Linked DNA regions of Alligator mississippiensis. The protein of the gene in region 1 interacts with the protein of each later gene in a pairwise test. Links are inferred from orthologs where the notes say so. Each region holds a gene or a part of one and is shown in the gene's direction. Other genes may lie near its edges.

The links. The genes of interacting proteins can lie anywhere in the genome.
Region 2: the proteins of ATXN3 (region 1) and RAD23B interact in a two-hybrid assay, tested with the Homo sapiens proteins (2 studies listed by BioGRID and IntAct). The link is inferred for Alligator mississippiensis from reciprocal best matches to the Homo sapiens genes ATXN3 and RAD23B.

Annotation. Positions count from the first base shown.
Region 1 is NC_081825.1:275,333,723-275,341,574, reverse strand, and holds the start of ATXN3 (ataxin-3), read left to right. Parts: upstream 1-4,839; 5' UTR 4,840-4,914; coding exon 4,915-4,938; exon of another isoform or gene 4,939-4,984; intron 4,985-7,852. UniProt on the Homo sapiens protein: Deubiquitinating enzyme involved in protein homeostasis maintenance, transcription, cytoskeleton regulation, myogenesis and degradation of misfolded chaperone substrates.
Region 2 is NC_081826.1:159,380,896-159,388,118, forward strand, and holds the start of RAD23B (UV excision repair protein RAD23 homolog B), read left to right. Parts: upstream 1-4,163; 5' UTR 4,164-4,377; coding exon 4,378-4,443; intron 4,444-7,223. UniProt on the Homo sapiens protein: Multiubiquitin chain receptor involved in modulation of proteasomal degradation. Binds to polyubiquitin chains.

The DNA of each region.
Region 1 (7,852 bases):
CCATAGGGGTAACCACTTGGTACATCCTTCTACTACCATCCAGGAGTCACTATAAATATAAATGGGCCTTCTAGGACATGGACCTTCTACTAATTCCCGCACAGCCATGCCGAGCACTGCTTGGAGCTCGGCATACTGCGCGCGCTTTTTCCGAGGCCTTGTAATACTACTTTCTTGCCATCTCGAATCCTCAAGGCAGCTGCTCTCCAGGCATGACCTCGAGCAGACCTATCTGTAAACTAGACTTTAACATTGGCTGAGGTCTCCATTTCAGGTGAGAAAGGAGGTGCTTTTTTGATGGGTGAAGGTTCACTGCAGCTTGTTTGATCAGGATAAACATTAATTGTACTTTCTGTGACTCTTTCAACTAATGCAGGGCATCCCTTTGGGGTTACTCGTTGGACCTGGCTCAAAATGTAATAAATCCACCTTTGGACTGTGGTGTTTTGGGCTCTCCCCCCAGGTGGTAGCTGGAAGTCTGACAGAGCCATTCCGAGAATAGGTATCAGAGTAGTGATAACTGTGGGTAACTCTCCTGTCAGTGCTTCTGTGGCTTCCAGGGCCGCTGTTGCTTCACACAACCTCTGTTCTAAGAGAGTATACCTTGCTTCCGCCCCTCTCCAGCCTCGGCTCCAAAATCCAAGGGGTTTTCCTTCTGTTTCCGAGGACTCCTGCCACAGGCTCCAGTGTGGTCCTCCTTCTGAGACGCCTATATGGAGCCAAAGCTCTCCTTCGGGACGTCGTGCTGCTAGGGAGGCATGAACAGTTACTGCTTCTTTAAGGGCTTGTAAGGCATATTTATGCTTAGGACCCCATTCCCATTTAGTTCTCTTCTTACATAGGTTATACAAGGGACGAGCTAATACGCTAAACTCAGGAACATGCATATGCCAAAAATTGAGTGGCTTGCAGTTCTTTCACGTTAGTGGGAGTTGGGGTCTCCACTATATTTCGCAGCTCCTCAGTTGGTATTGTGGGCCCCCCATTCTGCCATTCTATTCCTAGAAATTCACACTGGGACCCTACTTTTTGGATTTTCTGTTCAGACAGCGTGAATTCAAAGGTAAGCACTTTCTCTTTTAATGATTCAAAGGCCTTGGTGGCAGCCTCTCTGTCTTGACTGCCTACTATGATATCATCTATATTTTCTTGGACTTCATGAACTATTGTAGCTAAAACCCCATGAGCCAGGGTGGGGCTGTGTATCCACCCCTGGGGCAACACGGTGTAGGTATACTGCTGCCCTATCCACATGAAAGCAAATACTGGCCAGTGGCTCTCCTGGATGGGAATAGCAAAAAACATGTCTTTGATATCAACGGATCCCATCCACGCAGGTCCATAACACTGGATGCTTTCTGTCAAGGCTGGTAGTGACAGGACGACAGCCATCAAGGGGTCAGTATTAGCATTCAAAGCTCGAAAGTCAATAGTCAGTCACCACCCTCCATTTGGCTTGTGCACTGGCCATGCTGGATTGTTATATGGAGTGGTTTTGGATAATAGTTTCGTCTTCTAACTGCTGACTTATGATACACTGGCTAGGTTTGGTGGCCTCGGAGGGAGTTCGATACTGGGGTCTGTGTACTCCTTTCATGGGAGGCAGAGTTAGTGGGATCATGTTACATCGAGTTACAGCTGTTATAGCTGTTTCTTCTGTTTCTCAGTGAGGCACTGCGCACCCAAACTGCCAATTCTTTTGTTCAAGGGCAAACCGCTGTTCTCTTAGTACACTAAGTCCCAGTAAGCTTGGTCCCCCCTTAAGTATCACTGCTGCTGCTGTTACCTTAGAGTCATTAGGTAACGCGAAGGTTGCTTGGACCAGATGTCCTGGTCGTCTGGTGCCTCCAACTCCAATTACTTGATAAGGGGTTCCTTTCTCCCCCTTCCAATCTGCAGAATCTAAAATTCAAATCTGGGCACCCATGTCTAATAGCATATCAATGGACTTTTTACTTTTACCTAATTGAATCTGTACAGGTATCTTAATCAAGGGGCCAATATTAACTTTAGATACCGGTCCCCGGCCCACTATTGCCCCCGTTGTGGCCCCTTTCATTGGGGCTTGGGTCGGCCGGGCTTCCTAAGCCACATAATTAGGGGGTGTAAAGGCTAGCAGTCCTGCATGTGCCTGGGAAAATGTCAAGAGTTCTGCCCTCAGGGCAGAGAATCCCTCTGGTGACCCTGCTGGTGGTGCAGATGGCTCTGCTTTTTGGCTTGCTTTTTTCACTGCAGTGTTTAGCCCACAGCCCTTCCAAAACATTGGTGGGCACTCCATCAATTTGCACTTTATTAAAACTGGCAGCTAACAAGTCTTTCCACAATTTCGCTCGTGGAGTCTTGGGCCGGCCCTCTCCAGCTTTTTCCAACCATTTGGGGGGATCAGGGGGTTTGTCTTTTGCTGAGGCCACCACCATGGCCTTGGCAGTTTTTGTTGGCTTAGCCAGCCCTGGCTTCTGCAAAATGGGTAAAAGCTGCACTAATCGCCGGATCACATCTCTTACCGGGTGATCTACTGCCCCTGGCTCCAAGGCCAACAGGGCTGAGGTGCACTCTGTTGGTGCTCATTGGCAAAACCTCCTCCACAACAGTGCTGTCTTAATATCTAAACAAATACAGAAAAACACTCGGTCTAATCTTCATAGAGCCTTCAGCAAGCACCTTTATCACACAGACATAATTTCCAGCTGTCACAAAGGATCCAGATTTTTAATTCTACCTTTTGTGATATGGAATTTGTATGATGCAGCCTTGAATTCATTTTCTAAATATCTTCTCCCTCTAAAGCAGTGATTCTCAACCAGGGTGCTGTGGCAAAGTTAGCAGTGGTGGGTGTATGGACATGAATCACAAGCTAAGTCCAGAGACTTTGAATAGGAATCCACAGTAGTAAAAACATTACAAGTTCTTTCCAACAGGAGAATTACTATATCTTCTGTAGTAACAAATGAGTGAAAGCTAAGAGCTGGCATTTTCCTAGGGGTGTGTTAAGTCTATAAATGCTGAGAACTACTGCTTGTTCATTTAGATCAGTGTCCTGTCTCCTATCAGTGACCTTTGGTGTGACCAGCTCTGGCAATTCTCATTTTCCTTGCTGTGGCATTTCTTGTTATGGGGACTCTTCTGCAGAACAGGAAAAGGTCAGACCCTAAAACCTTATAACTTTCTTCCAATCTGTATGTTGGTTCAGTGCCTCAGAGCAATGCTGAGTCCTCTAAAAAGTTCCTGTTTGGGAGGGGGGGGCGGTGTTTCTAGGTGCCCGTGCCCATGCCCTGAAAGTTTTGCCAGTTGTTGATACAAGTATTAACTTGCAACAAAATCCTAGTGGTTTTGAATTTAGAAGGATGTTATGGAAAGAGCTAATGGAAGGGTTTATTTTTAGTCATCAGGTAGTATAAATAGAACTTCCCAGTTTTTTATTTCATCCCAGAAACTGAGAAACAAGATGGCAGTCAAAAGTAGAGTCTGCTAGAAGTCCATTTGGGAGAGGTGAAAGTGACAGCTCAACATAGAATCGTAGAAAATTAGGGTTGGAGGGAACCTCAGGAGGTCATCTAGTCCAGCCCCCTGCTCAGAGCTATCTAGTCCAGCCCCCTGCCCAACTATCCTTCCAGCCAAAGCTTTGCTTAGCTGGGTTTTGAAAATCTCCAAGGATGGCCCTTCTACCACCTCTCTGGGTCACTTGTTCCAATGTTTTAGTACCCTCCTAGTGAATGATATAGTGATATTTCCTAAATCTAACCTAAACTTCCCTTGCTGCAACTTGACACCATTGCTACTTGTTCTGTCATCTGCCACCACTGAGAACAGTCCAGCTCCATCCTTTTTCGAGCCCTTCAGGTAGTTGAAGGCTGCTATTAAATGCCCCTTCAGTCTTCTCTTCTCCAGACTAAATAAGCCCAGCTCCCTCAGCCTCTCTTCAGAAGTCATGTGCCCCAGCCCATAAATTGAGACTTAAGATCACTTTCCTACAACCAGACTTAAACTGCCAGCCTTCCTGTTCCTAGCTCAGGACTTGGGCCCTTCAGCCCCAGAGGGACCTCAAATGATTGAGAAAGAAGGCAAAGCCCAACTGAAGCATCCAAGAGTGAGACACGCTTATTTTTCTTTAAGCTGGAAACATCAGCCAGCTAAACAGCATGGATGGAGCAACTAATGATGCTGCCATGTCATCAGTCTGGGATTTCAGTGTTTGGATATGACAATGATGGGGAGCAGTGGTCTTTGCCTGGCCACTCTGTCTCGTGTACCAGCCTCTGGGAGAATGAATGAGGTTAAATTTGGTGAGATACACCTTCTCCTCCCTTCTCCCGTGTCTTCTCTTTCACTCATTCCTGTTTTCAGTATTATTGTCAGACATGGCCTGTTGCTTAGAAATAACTCCCTACTCCTTCCCCTTGCCTGTTGTGCCCGGGGGAGAGGTTTGTGTAGATCCTAGTGAAAATGCCATCGTCTTTGTGCCTGAATGCCCCGCGTGCAGCTCAAGAAGCGCTGGGAAATGTATTTCCTAATTCACCCCTTCGGCCAGACCTACCGATCCCCGGGCTGGCGGAACCGGACCAGGATACCCAGCGCTCCGCAACCGGCAGCGGGCGCCACTGCTGCGCTAGCCGGCCGCGCCCGTGCAGCCCTCCCTTCCCCGCGCCAGCGTCTGGATCCTCCCGGCCTGCAGAGGGAGCCCGCGCCGGCGGCAGTGACGCTACTCCGGAAGCACGTTCCTCCCCAGCCGGCCCAGCTGCCGCAGACATGATCTGCCTGTCGAGATGTTATTGGGCGGGGCGAGAGCCACGTGGCCGCGTTGAGGGCAGGGAAGGAAGCGGGACTGCTGCGGCGATTGGCTGCTGGTGAAACGCTATTCGATTGGCTGGGCCGCTGTCACGTGAGGCGGAGGCCGCTGGCTCGAGACAAATAAACATGGAGTCCATCTTCCACGAGAGGGTGAGCGGGCGGGAGCGGTTCGGTCGGGGGCGGGCGTTCCGCGCCGGTAAGAGCGGGGTGGGGAGCGGGCACGGGCGGGACCCTGCGTCAGGTGACGGGCAGGGCAGGGCGGGCCTCTTAGTGCGAGGGAGCCTCTCGCCAGATGTCGTAGAGAGGCCGGGGCCCAGGCCCGCGAGCGCAGACGGTGTTGGTACAGGCACCCCCGCTCCGTCTCGAGCAGGGCGTTGGGCTGGCCTTCATGGGGTCTCGCCCAGCCTGTTCTGGTGGGACTCGAATAAATGCTTCCTCAGTGGCGCACTGGAGGTCTTGCAGTCGCAGGGGGGTGCTGCAGCTACTTCCCCCAGCCCGTGGGGCTGGTGTAGCAGGGGCCTTTCCAGCCTGGCCCCACAGGTCCCACAGATTGGGTCCTGTGTCACCCCAGCACACTGTCTTTGCCCACTGGGATCAGGCTGTGAGGTTTTGTGCTACCCCCACCTAGCCCCATATGCCAGGATCAAGCCCTGCACCACTGTGCCTAAACTAGCATGTAGCACTACAACCCACAGATGGGTGGGTATTCCCACAGGCCAGATGATACAATGCCAAGGGCCAGATCTGGCTCATGGGCCACCCTTGCTCTAAGGTAACTTATTTTATGTGAGCTTTTGTGACATAAAGGGTGAGTCAAGAGGCAAGGAAACTGAGGGGGAAAAAAATTAAACCTTTTGCTTGTAACAGGAAGTTAGCTTTAGTGTTTAATATGGAGGGAATAGCAGCCTTCAGTGACTAGGAAGTTCGTAGGCTCATCTACAAAAGGTGTTTTGTAAGTTTTCTTTGCTAATCCTCAAAAGAAACTTGCAAAACATCTTTCATAGATGAGCCCAAAACTTCACTTTGTAAGTCTAATGGATACAAAATTCATGGACTTAATATAAACATTGGACTTGTGACGTATTACAACCTGCCTGACATCTGATTCACCAGGTACCTGCCTGAGCTTACCGTCTGCATTCTTTCCCTGTCTTATCTCTACCAATTGTCTTCCTAACTTCCACCTATTTACATTTCCACAGATGTCTTGTAGCACTTTTGGCTTCTTTCCTGCCTTGGAGATCTCGGAAGCAGAGCAGTCTCCCAATGCCTGAAGAAGGGTGCTTGTGCCTGAAAGCTTACAAAGACCTTTTTTCCAACTATTTAGTTGGTCTAATGAAAGATACCACATCTACTCAAAGAACCTTGCCTTATCTGAACCATACTTTTGTGCTGTCCATCCCTCCTTTTAGTCCTATCCCAATTTATTTGAAGATAAATGGGCTTTGTTACATATTATACTTCAAGCTTCTCAAAATGTCTATCGGCAAGGTATTTTAGTAGATGTGATATCTTTTATTACCCCAACTGAGTAGTGGGGGGAGGGGGGGGGGAAGTCCTTAGCCAAGCTTTCAGGCACAGTCACCCTTCTTCAGGCATAGGGAGTCTCTGCTGGTCTTAGACTCCATGGAATGAGAGAAGTTAAGTGTGGCAGGATGTCGGTGAGAATGTAAATAGGTAGAAATTAGAAAGACAAAAGGTAAGGCAGAGGAGGGAGGGGGAAGAAGGCAGGGGAAAGAGAAGGGAGACATTATACTGATAGAATACAAGGTAGAAAAGAGGCTGTCTGTGAAAAAGGGAATAGCTGGAGATTAGGAAAACAGAACTGAGAGAAGCTAGAAATGTGACAGGATGTCAGTGAAAATATAAATAGGTAGAAATTAGAAAAAAGGTAAAGTAGGGAAGGGAGGAGGAAGGAAGCTAAGGAAGGAAAAAAGGCTAAAGGGAACATACAGAGGCAATAATACAAGGTGAAAAAGAGGCATCAATGAGAGGAAATATATGGAAATCAGGAAGATAAAGAACAGAAAAGTATGGAAAAGGAGAGGAGAAAAGGTGGGGGAAAAGAAGAATGTAAGAGGTCAGGTCAGGCAGGTACCTGGTGAATCGGATGTCGGATAGATTGTAACGTGTCATAAAACCAATGTCTATTTTGAGTCCATGATTTTTTGTTTCCAGTAGAGTCATAAAGTGAAGTTCATAGGCTCGTCTACGGACAGTGTTTTGTAAGTTCCCTTTGAGAATTAGAACTGAGAGTTTGGGGAGGGAGTGATTGTCCTCCAAGAGGTGTGTCCCCAGTCTTAGTTAGATTTTTGGTTGTATTCATTCTACATTCAGAAGTCAATCAGCATCAATGTTAACTCGAGTTTTTATAAGTTACATATTTAGGCTAAAATCTTCTCTGACTGTTCTGAACTTGCACAACTGTGACTTGCCACAAAAGGGGCAGTAAGCAGGAGCCTGATTAGAAACTACAGCTATAAGTTGCTGCTAGAGCAGGAGTGGACAATTACTTTGGCTGGTGAGCCACTTAATGAGTTTTGGTGAGCTATTGAGGGCTGCACACAAAATCTTTCAGATATTTTTGTTTTTTAAAATCTATAATTTATTTAAAATCCTATATTAAAATCCAAACATCTACTAAAACTTTATCTCAAAAAAGATTTTCTGTCCTGATTTATGTTTTGAGTACCATATATAGAGGTAATTGTATAATAGCTCAAAATAAAGTCTTACTATTGTATGCTGTGGGGAGCGTGTGGACATGTGTGGGCAGCTGCCTGCATACTAGGTACTGGAAAAAGATGGAAGGGGGCATGTGCAGCACAGCTCACCCAGGTGAGGGGCAGGTACAAGTGCAGTCAGCGCTGCCCCCCCTCCAATCTGGCCTGCTGCTGCACCCACATGGGGTTGAGCCCCGCCCATGACAGTCTGCCACAGTCCCACAGTCACCTGTGGGTGGCTGAATGGATGGAAGGTGGCCTGGAGCTGGGATCGGGACCTCGCATGCTGGGGCAGGAGCCACCTGGCTGCAGCCCCCCTATCCCGGCTGGGCATCTCCTGG
Region 2 (7,223 bases), on another chromosome or scaffold:
TGAATGGTCATGTGGTTCCATCTCAGATGCAAATGAGACCTAGGGCAGTTGTTTCACTCTTGTCACCGTTATCTGGAGGGTCTTAGGTGTGTCTCTCACTGCATCTTAATCAGTTTCATTTATGTAGAGGAGCAGAGGGAGGAGGGGGTGAGTCAGACAGACTGCATCCTGTGCCAGGGTTCCCAAGAACACACAGCTGAGATGGAACAACGGCCAGTGGCAGAGATGGGTCTGCCTTCTTCCGAGTCACACTACAGTAATGCAACATCCATCAGGCCATAGACTTTCCTTTTTGAGTCAAGAATGTGCCTGGATTCTTTTTTCTAAGTACTGGTCAAATGAAAATGTTGAAAGGGGTTGCAACTTCAAAAAGGTATTAAAAACCATATCAAATGTGTTTATATATATACATATATATATACAAATGTGTATAATTAATACATTCATCAATTATAAAGCCAGAAGGGGTCACAATGATTTATCTCATCAGACCTCCAGCATAACAGACTTTCCAAATTAATCCTTGTTTGAACTATGGCACAAATTTTAGAAAGACTCTTGCTTTTAAAAATATGTCATGTGGGTAAAAATGTAGCTGTATTGTTACCAAAAACAAAGTACCATTCGGTCTCCAGAGAGACAAGACTACAGCCTAAGATGAGAATTCTTTTGCAAGTTTAGACACAAGTTAAGGGTCAGTTACACGTTCCTTAATGATTACTTTTTTTGAACATCAAATAAGATACAATCACATTTCCCAATGATCCTCCATTCCCTCTTAGCAGATAAGATATTACTACCACCCAAGTCAGATAAAAAGGCAAGAGACAGGTCTAGAGCCCAACACCAAAGCACAATAATAAGCATTTGTCTCTAGCTAGGGCTGGGTATTCAGAATTGCCAACTCTCATGATTTTTGGCATTGTTTTTAAAGTCTCTGCTTCAGGAATGTGAAAACCTTAGTTCTTTCTTTTATCTATATTTAGATTACATCTATATTTATATATAGATTATATACATATATATAATCTATATTTATATATAGAAATAAAAGAAAGAGCTAAGTTTTTCACATTCCTGAAGTGTAGATTTTAAGAACAATGCCAAAAATCATGAGAGTTGGCAACACAGGGTATTTGACCAGGCAAATAAAGTTCAGTCAGTTGACGGGTCAAATGTCAGTCAAAAACTGTAAAAATTTGCCAATAGGTCTAATAATATACAGAAAAAGCACAACATTTTCCATTAAGGAATGTGTCAAAAAGCAATAAAAAATCATATGTCTGTCAAAAAAACTACAATAAATGTAGCTTAAAAAAATATAAAATTGCTATAATTTTTGACCAGTCAAAAAATATGCAGTTAATGGACCAGTCAGTTGATAATACTGGACTGGTCAATTGACTGGCTTGCCAACCCTATCTCAAGTTACCTGCAAGAGCACAACACAGTTTCTCAGCTATACCAACTGGGGGGGAGAGGGGGAGATGCAGAAGGCAGGAGGAAGGTAGCATGCAGGCTAGCATCAGGCATCTTGAATTTGTTGAGGCCTTTCCCAAATACCCAATATTTATATGTGGCTTATTTTAATATTCTGATTGGTGTTATTCAAATTTCTTTGTTTCACTGAGATTTTAGGAACTGGACTATCCCAGCTTTTCTGTGGAAGCCAGTTAGCTGAGGTCTATGTTCTTGTGAAAAATACAACTCTGGGAGAGCGAGAGGACCTCTTATCTCTCTCTCTCCCTCACCCTCTGGGAATGCAATTTGCCATGTTCTGTTTCTTTAACTTTGCTGACTAAGCCAGTTGTAATACATTTACAAAAGTTCATTCTGAAACAGGCTTTGTGGCCTGCTTTAACCACCCTGCTGCTACTTAGCATAAGTCCCTTGAAAGGGGCCAAGGCTGACAACAAGTTAAACAAGACCCATTATTCCTCCAATAAAATTCTAGATGACTACATACAACTTAATTCTTAAAACATCAGTCGTTACCTTTTAGCTTCTATAAAACACTGTCCACAAAGCAGTTATTCATTCTTGGCCTAATCTAATACTAGTGGCCTTGATAAACAGATTCTTATTCTGTTTACCCAGGCTATTGCTTATGACTTAAATGCAAGCTTGTTGATTATTGGTTGTATATCATTTTAAGCACATCATATTCATAACTCAGGCTTCTGCTAGGTCTGTAGTCGGCACTGGTCAGCGTGGTCCATCAGTAATTGACTGTGTCTACAGTTTACAGTATGTATTTCTTGTAGAAATATAGCAATGCCAATGGGATTTTCTGTAAGTAACATTAAGACCTCCTTCTTGTTGTGTCCACTACCATCCAACTTAATTCAGTAATTGGGCACCAATGTTTAAACTAAAAATAAGATGGGACAGTAGGACATGAATGTTCTCTCCCAGGTGCCCACACATTTCAAAAGGGTAGTTTGTATCCAGTACTATTATGGGAAAAGGAGATCACTCACTGAGATGTCTGAATGCTACTGTCTTCTTTCAGCAAAGTATGTGTTTTACTGAGACTTTCAGTAACTGGAGTCCTCAACCGTTGCAAACCTTCTGGCTTGAAAGACTCTCTCTCCTCATCACTTACTGCAGTGGCCAGCAAAAGCGCTTGAGGAGAAACCTTTTATATAAAAAAGATGGTGCTGCTCACAGGATGTTCTTTATGAGGGCTTTTCCCCATGATCTAAATACTCTGAACGCAATGACTTGGGGACAGTGCAAAAGCCATTTATTTTATAAGGTCTAATGAGAAATGCATGACCTTGAGGAGGGTTGTAAGGGGTTGTTTCCTCTGCACTGGTATATTTTCTGGTGGAGTTATTTCATTATTTGCACACAATACACTATTGGAAAATTACCATTTAGGACTCAAACCCTACAGGATTGTTAGCAGTTCCTGGACATGTTGGTATAGGCGGGTTTTTTAAAAAAATTATTTAAATCTGCATGAATAATTCTTAAATTTTACTCATCCTTTGAAACATCACATGTTTGAGCTCTGCCAGTGGCCTGGAGTATTAGGACGAGTCATTTATGAACAGAACACACATTTGCCCCCGGGGGGGGGGGGGAAATCCTAGACTGGGTTCCACCATTTTTAAACCAGTCTGTGCTGAAATTCTGCTCTGTTACGAGTATAGACCAGTTTTGTGTGCTGAATGTCTGTTTTATTACAGGTATAGACTGGTTTCCAATCACTTATACCAGTACAAGTGTAATGTCTGACCCTGGCCTTAAAGACTGGCTTCCTCTTCTCCCAGGGGAACGAGGTGCCACTTTCAGTTAAAAAAAGACCTACCCTCTCTCCCTACTCCTGCTACCCAAGGCATAGGGGGTGCTCAGCTAGGGTGCTGTGACATCCCTTTGAAGAGCGCTATACAATATTAGTGTGGCGAGGCGTGCAAACCCTTGCGCATGATTTCAGATAGGAATTCACACTGTCAAAACCCCATTGCTGCCCTCTGGCTGCCTTCCTGAGTTCTTCTGGGACGAGACTTGCTCTCATCTTGTTGGTCTAGTAGCCTCCGCTCCTCCAAAATATCCCACCCAGGCATAGGCAGCTAAGGTCTGGGTGGCCCTCATGCATACACTGTGCTCCAGGAGGGTCGCCGGTTGCTGCATGGTGGTCTAATAAAAGATATCGTCTCTACTGCAAGTCCTGACTGCCTTGTCCTCTAGACCAATGCGGCTGCAACCTGGATACCCGACATCTCTCGCTTCCCCGCAGTTGAGGAAGAGCGAGAGGCGGCACGAGGCCGCCTGCACTGCAGTCCAAATGAGACCAAGAGCCGCTGGTCTGAAGCCAGGAACAGACGTGAGATGCAGCCTGTCCCGGAGCAGAACAGTCCAGGGCCTGGCATGCCCGCCCAGACCGGGTCTGAACATGTCCTTATCCCAGCATAACCACTCACGCTGGGCCTAGCCCGTGCGTTTGTCTCAAGTTCACCCCGCGCTGAGGCTTTTATTTATTTTTAAGGGGAACTTGACGGGATGGAGGAGGGAGAATCCTGCGGCCCCGCCCCTCGGGCCCCGCTCCGCGCCTGCGCACCAGCCACTTCCCCCCCCCCGCGCATGCGCCGCGCGCTTCCCCTCCCCCGCCCTGGCTGGCGCGGGGGGCTGCGGACGCGAGTCACGATGGCGGCGGCCAGGCCGTGAGCGGCGGCGGCACCCACCCCTCCCCCACGCGGCCCGCCACCCCCGGCTCCCGCGCGCGCGCGCGCGCTGCCTCCCCCCGCCCTCCGCGCCTGCGCACCTGCCCCCCTCCCGGCGCAGCGCAGCGCAGCGCAGCGCAGCGCGGACAGCCCGCGCCAGCAGCCGGCGGGTGGGCGGGGGCGGCCTCGCTGGGCCCGCGGCGCCGCCATGCAGATCACGCTGAAGACGCTGCAGCAGCAGACCTTCAAGATCGATATCGACCCCGAAGAGACGGTGCGGGCCGGGGCCGGGGCCGGGGCCTGCCTGGGCGGGCGGGCGGGCGGGGGGTCGCAAGGGCCTTGGCGGCCGGGGAGGAGCGGAGCGGGCTGCGCGGTGCGGCGCGGCTCCGGGCAGGCCGCAGGCCTCCATGGCTCCTTAGTGCGGGCCCCCGCACCGAGGGCTGAGGCGGCCCGGCCTGCGCTCCTGGGCATGTGAGACTGCAAAACGGCCTGGCTGCCAGCGGGGCGGGGGGATGGGCCCCAGAGGCCTGCCTCCAGCCTCTCCATTGAATCCTGGGACTGGACGTGAGCGAAGACCTGGCCCCAGGGGTGCTGCTGTGGCTCCTCTCAAGCCATGAGCTGGGCTGGATTTAGAGGCGGAACAGGCAGCGATGGTTCCCTGCTCTCCTTAACTCCAGAGCAGCCGTCAGGGTGCTGTGAAATCCCCTCAGAGGGCTGGTCAAAATTCAGGAGAAACTTGTCTGGAAAAGCGGGCCCAGGCAGGGGGGGTTGGTGGTAGGGCTGTACTGCCAGCTCATGCTCCAGAGCCTCATGGTAAAAACCGGAGCCTGTTTAAACCGCCAAATCTTTTCAGGCACCTGGTTAGTCACACTTTTGCTAGTTGAGCGTCCCCTCAGCCTCCTTTTTTAAATATTTCTTGAGACTGAAGTGTGCCACTGCCCCAGATTAAGTTGGAGGCTTGCGCAGAGTCAGGTTGTGTTTGCTCCGGAGAGCCCCTGGAGCATTACACTTCGTGTGCTGTTTTCATGTCCTCCGTGCTAGAGGTAGGCTTATTTACTTGGATCACTGCCCTGTGCTGTGACTGGCCAAAACGGTCTGGTTATGATAGGCCCAGGAAACTTGTTGCTTTTAAACCTGCTGCTGTTTCTAGCATTTTCTGTCTTTTACTTTCCCTGTACAAATCAAACTTAAAACAAGCCTGAGGTTGAGCAACAATGTGAGGCCATCCTGAAACAGCAGCTCTAGGTTCAGCACTAGAAGTATGCAGTTATCAGAAATCATGTTAGTATTTATACATACCACTGAAAATATCATTAACTACTTTTTGTCATTAAACCAGGCATGTCGAACATACAGCCTGTAGGCCAAATTTGACCCATGGGTCTCTCTGCAATGTTAATTGGTGACAGCGGAAGAGAGGACTTATGGCAGCCACAAGATTAATGGTGGCCGCCCCTGATGTTCTTGGGTCGTCTGGCCCATGGGGAGCCTTGTGGTCTGGATTTGGCTCACAAGGCCAAACAACTTTGACATCCCTGTCATAAGCTGTATTGTAACGACTTGAACACTTGGCATTGAACCACTACTTTTTTCCTATTTGACAAAGGAAAAAGCTCAGTGCAATGAGTATATTTTGTAGCTCAGAGCTAGTTTTAAATATTAGTGCTACATTGATTTTAAAAGATGTGACCAGAATTTGCATTTTCTGAATGCTGGACCTAAAACATGAGCTGTTCTATATTTGTCAAAGCACTATTTTTGAAATAACTGAGTGGAGATGGTAGATTGTCCCGCCTGATATAAAACCATTTTTAAGAAAGTTGTGGCTGGCTAAAGACTTCATGGTTTGAAAAGTCCTGTAATGTATGAAATGAGGGAAAATACTACTCAAAGTCCAGGAGATATGTTCAACTTCTGTGGAATGAATTTTGGAGCAAGCATGCAGGGGTCATAGGTGCACCCCTGATATCATATACAGAAAACTGTGTTGCCAGTTGAGCAGGCTTAGTTCTATGACCATTGTCAGTTAAACATTTGTCATGATGATGGACCAAATCACTTGTTCCTGTACTGCTGTGTGGGCACTCTTTGTTTACTAACATCCCTTAATTGAAATTAAATGATTCCCACTACTTGAAGTGGATGCAGTACTATGTAGCTGACACATTCTTGACTGATAGGTGAAAAGCAATTATGACAGTCTGGAGTTATAGACTTGTAAAGCTACTGGTAAAATGAATGCTGTTTAGGATTTAGAGATGCAAATGTATTTAGCATGATCTGGGAGTGTAAACCATTTTAGGTAAAAGTAGCATAGTTGGGTAAAAAAATTCTTCAGCTTCAATACAGTGTTAAATATCACCTTAGACAAAAGTATGTTTATGTTTTAATTACATTTTGCTATGCTGGTATTTGTTCAAACTGGAAAAAATGCCAGGAGCAAGAGGAATGGCAGAGTGAGTGGCAGTTGTCTTTACACAGCTTTTTCGTTAACAGAGCATGCATTTTCATGTGTTAGCATTCTGCCACAGTATTTGAACATTTGTATGGAAAGCTTGCTTCAAGAAAGTGTCAACAGGAAACTCTTGAAGTTAGGGTAGCTTATTTTTCAAGCCAATGACTAAATGCATTCTGTTTAACACAGGACTGTCCAGATTGTAAGCGGTTGTGGTTCACAGACCATACCAATGGGGCTGCATTCTCCAGGGGCCACACTTCTACAAGCCACAGCTCCTGTACTGCATGAACGATTAACCCCCCACACACACACTGCCACACCACTGTGCGCCATGTAGTGTGGCATTTTGTCCCTTGGGACAGGAGCAAAAAAGGAAAAGTTGTGGGAAGGAGGGGTACCTTAGAGACCTCAGCTGCAGTAGCAGCTGGAGCAGTAAGGGGAGCAGCAGCCAGGTAGGAGCTTGAGGTCTGTTTATTAACCTGTTGTGGGACAGCCTTGCTTAAACATGCATAGATATTTTGCTTCATTCCTAACATCCTTGTCATTCTGCAATATATATGTTAGAGAAATTTAAGGTAGGTACTAATTTCAACCCT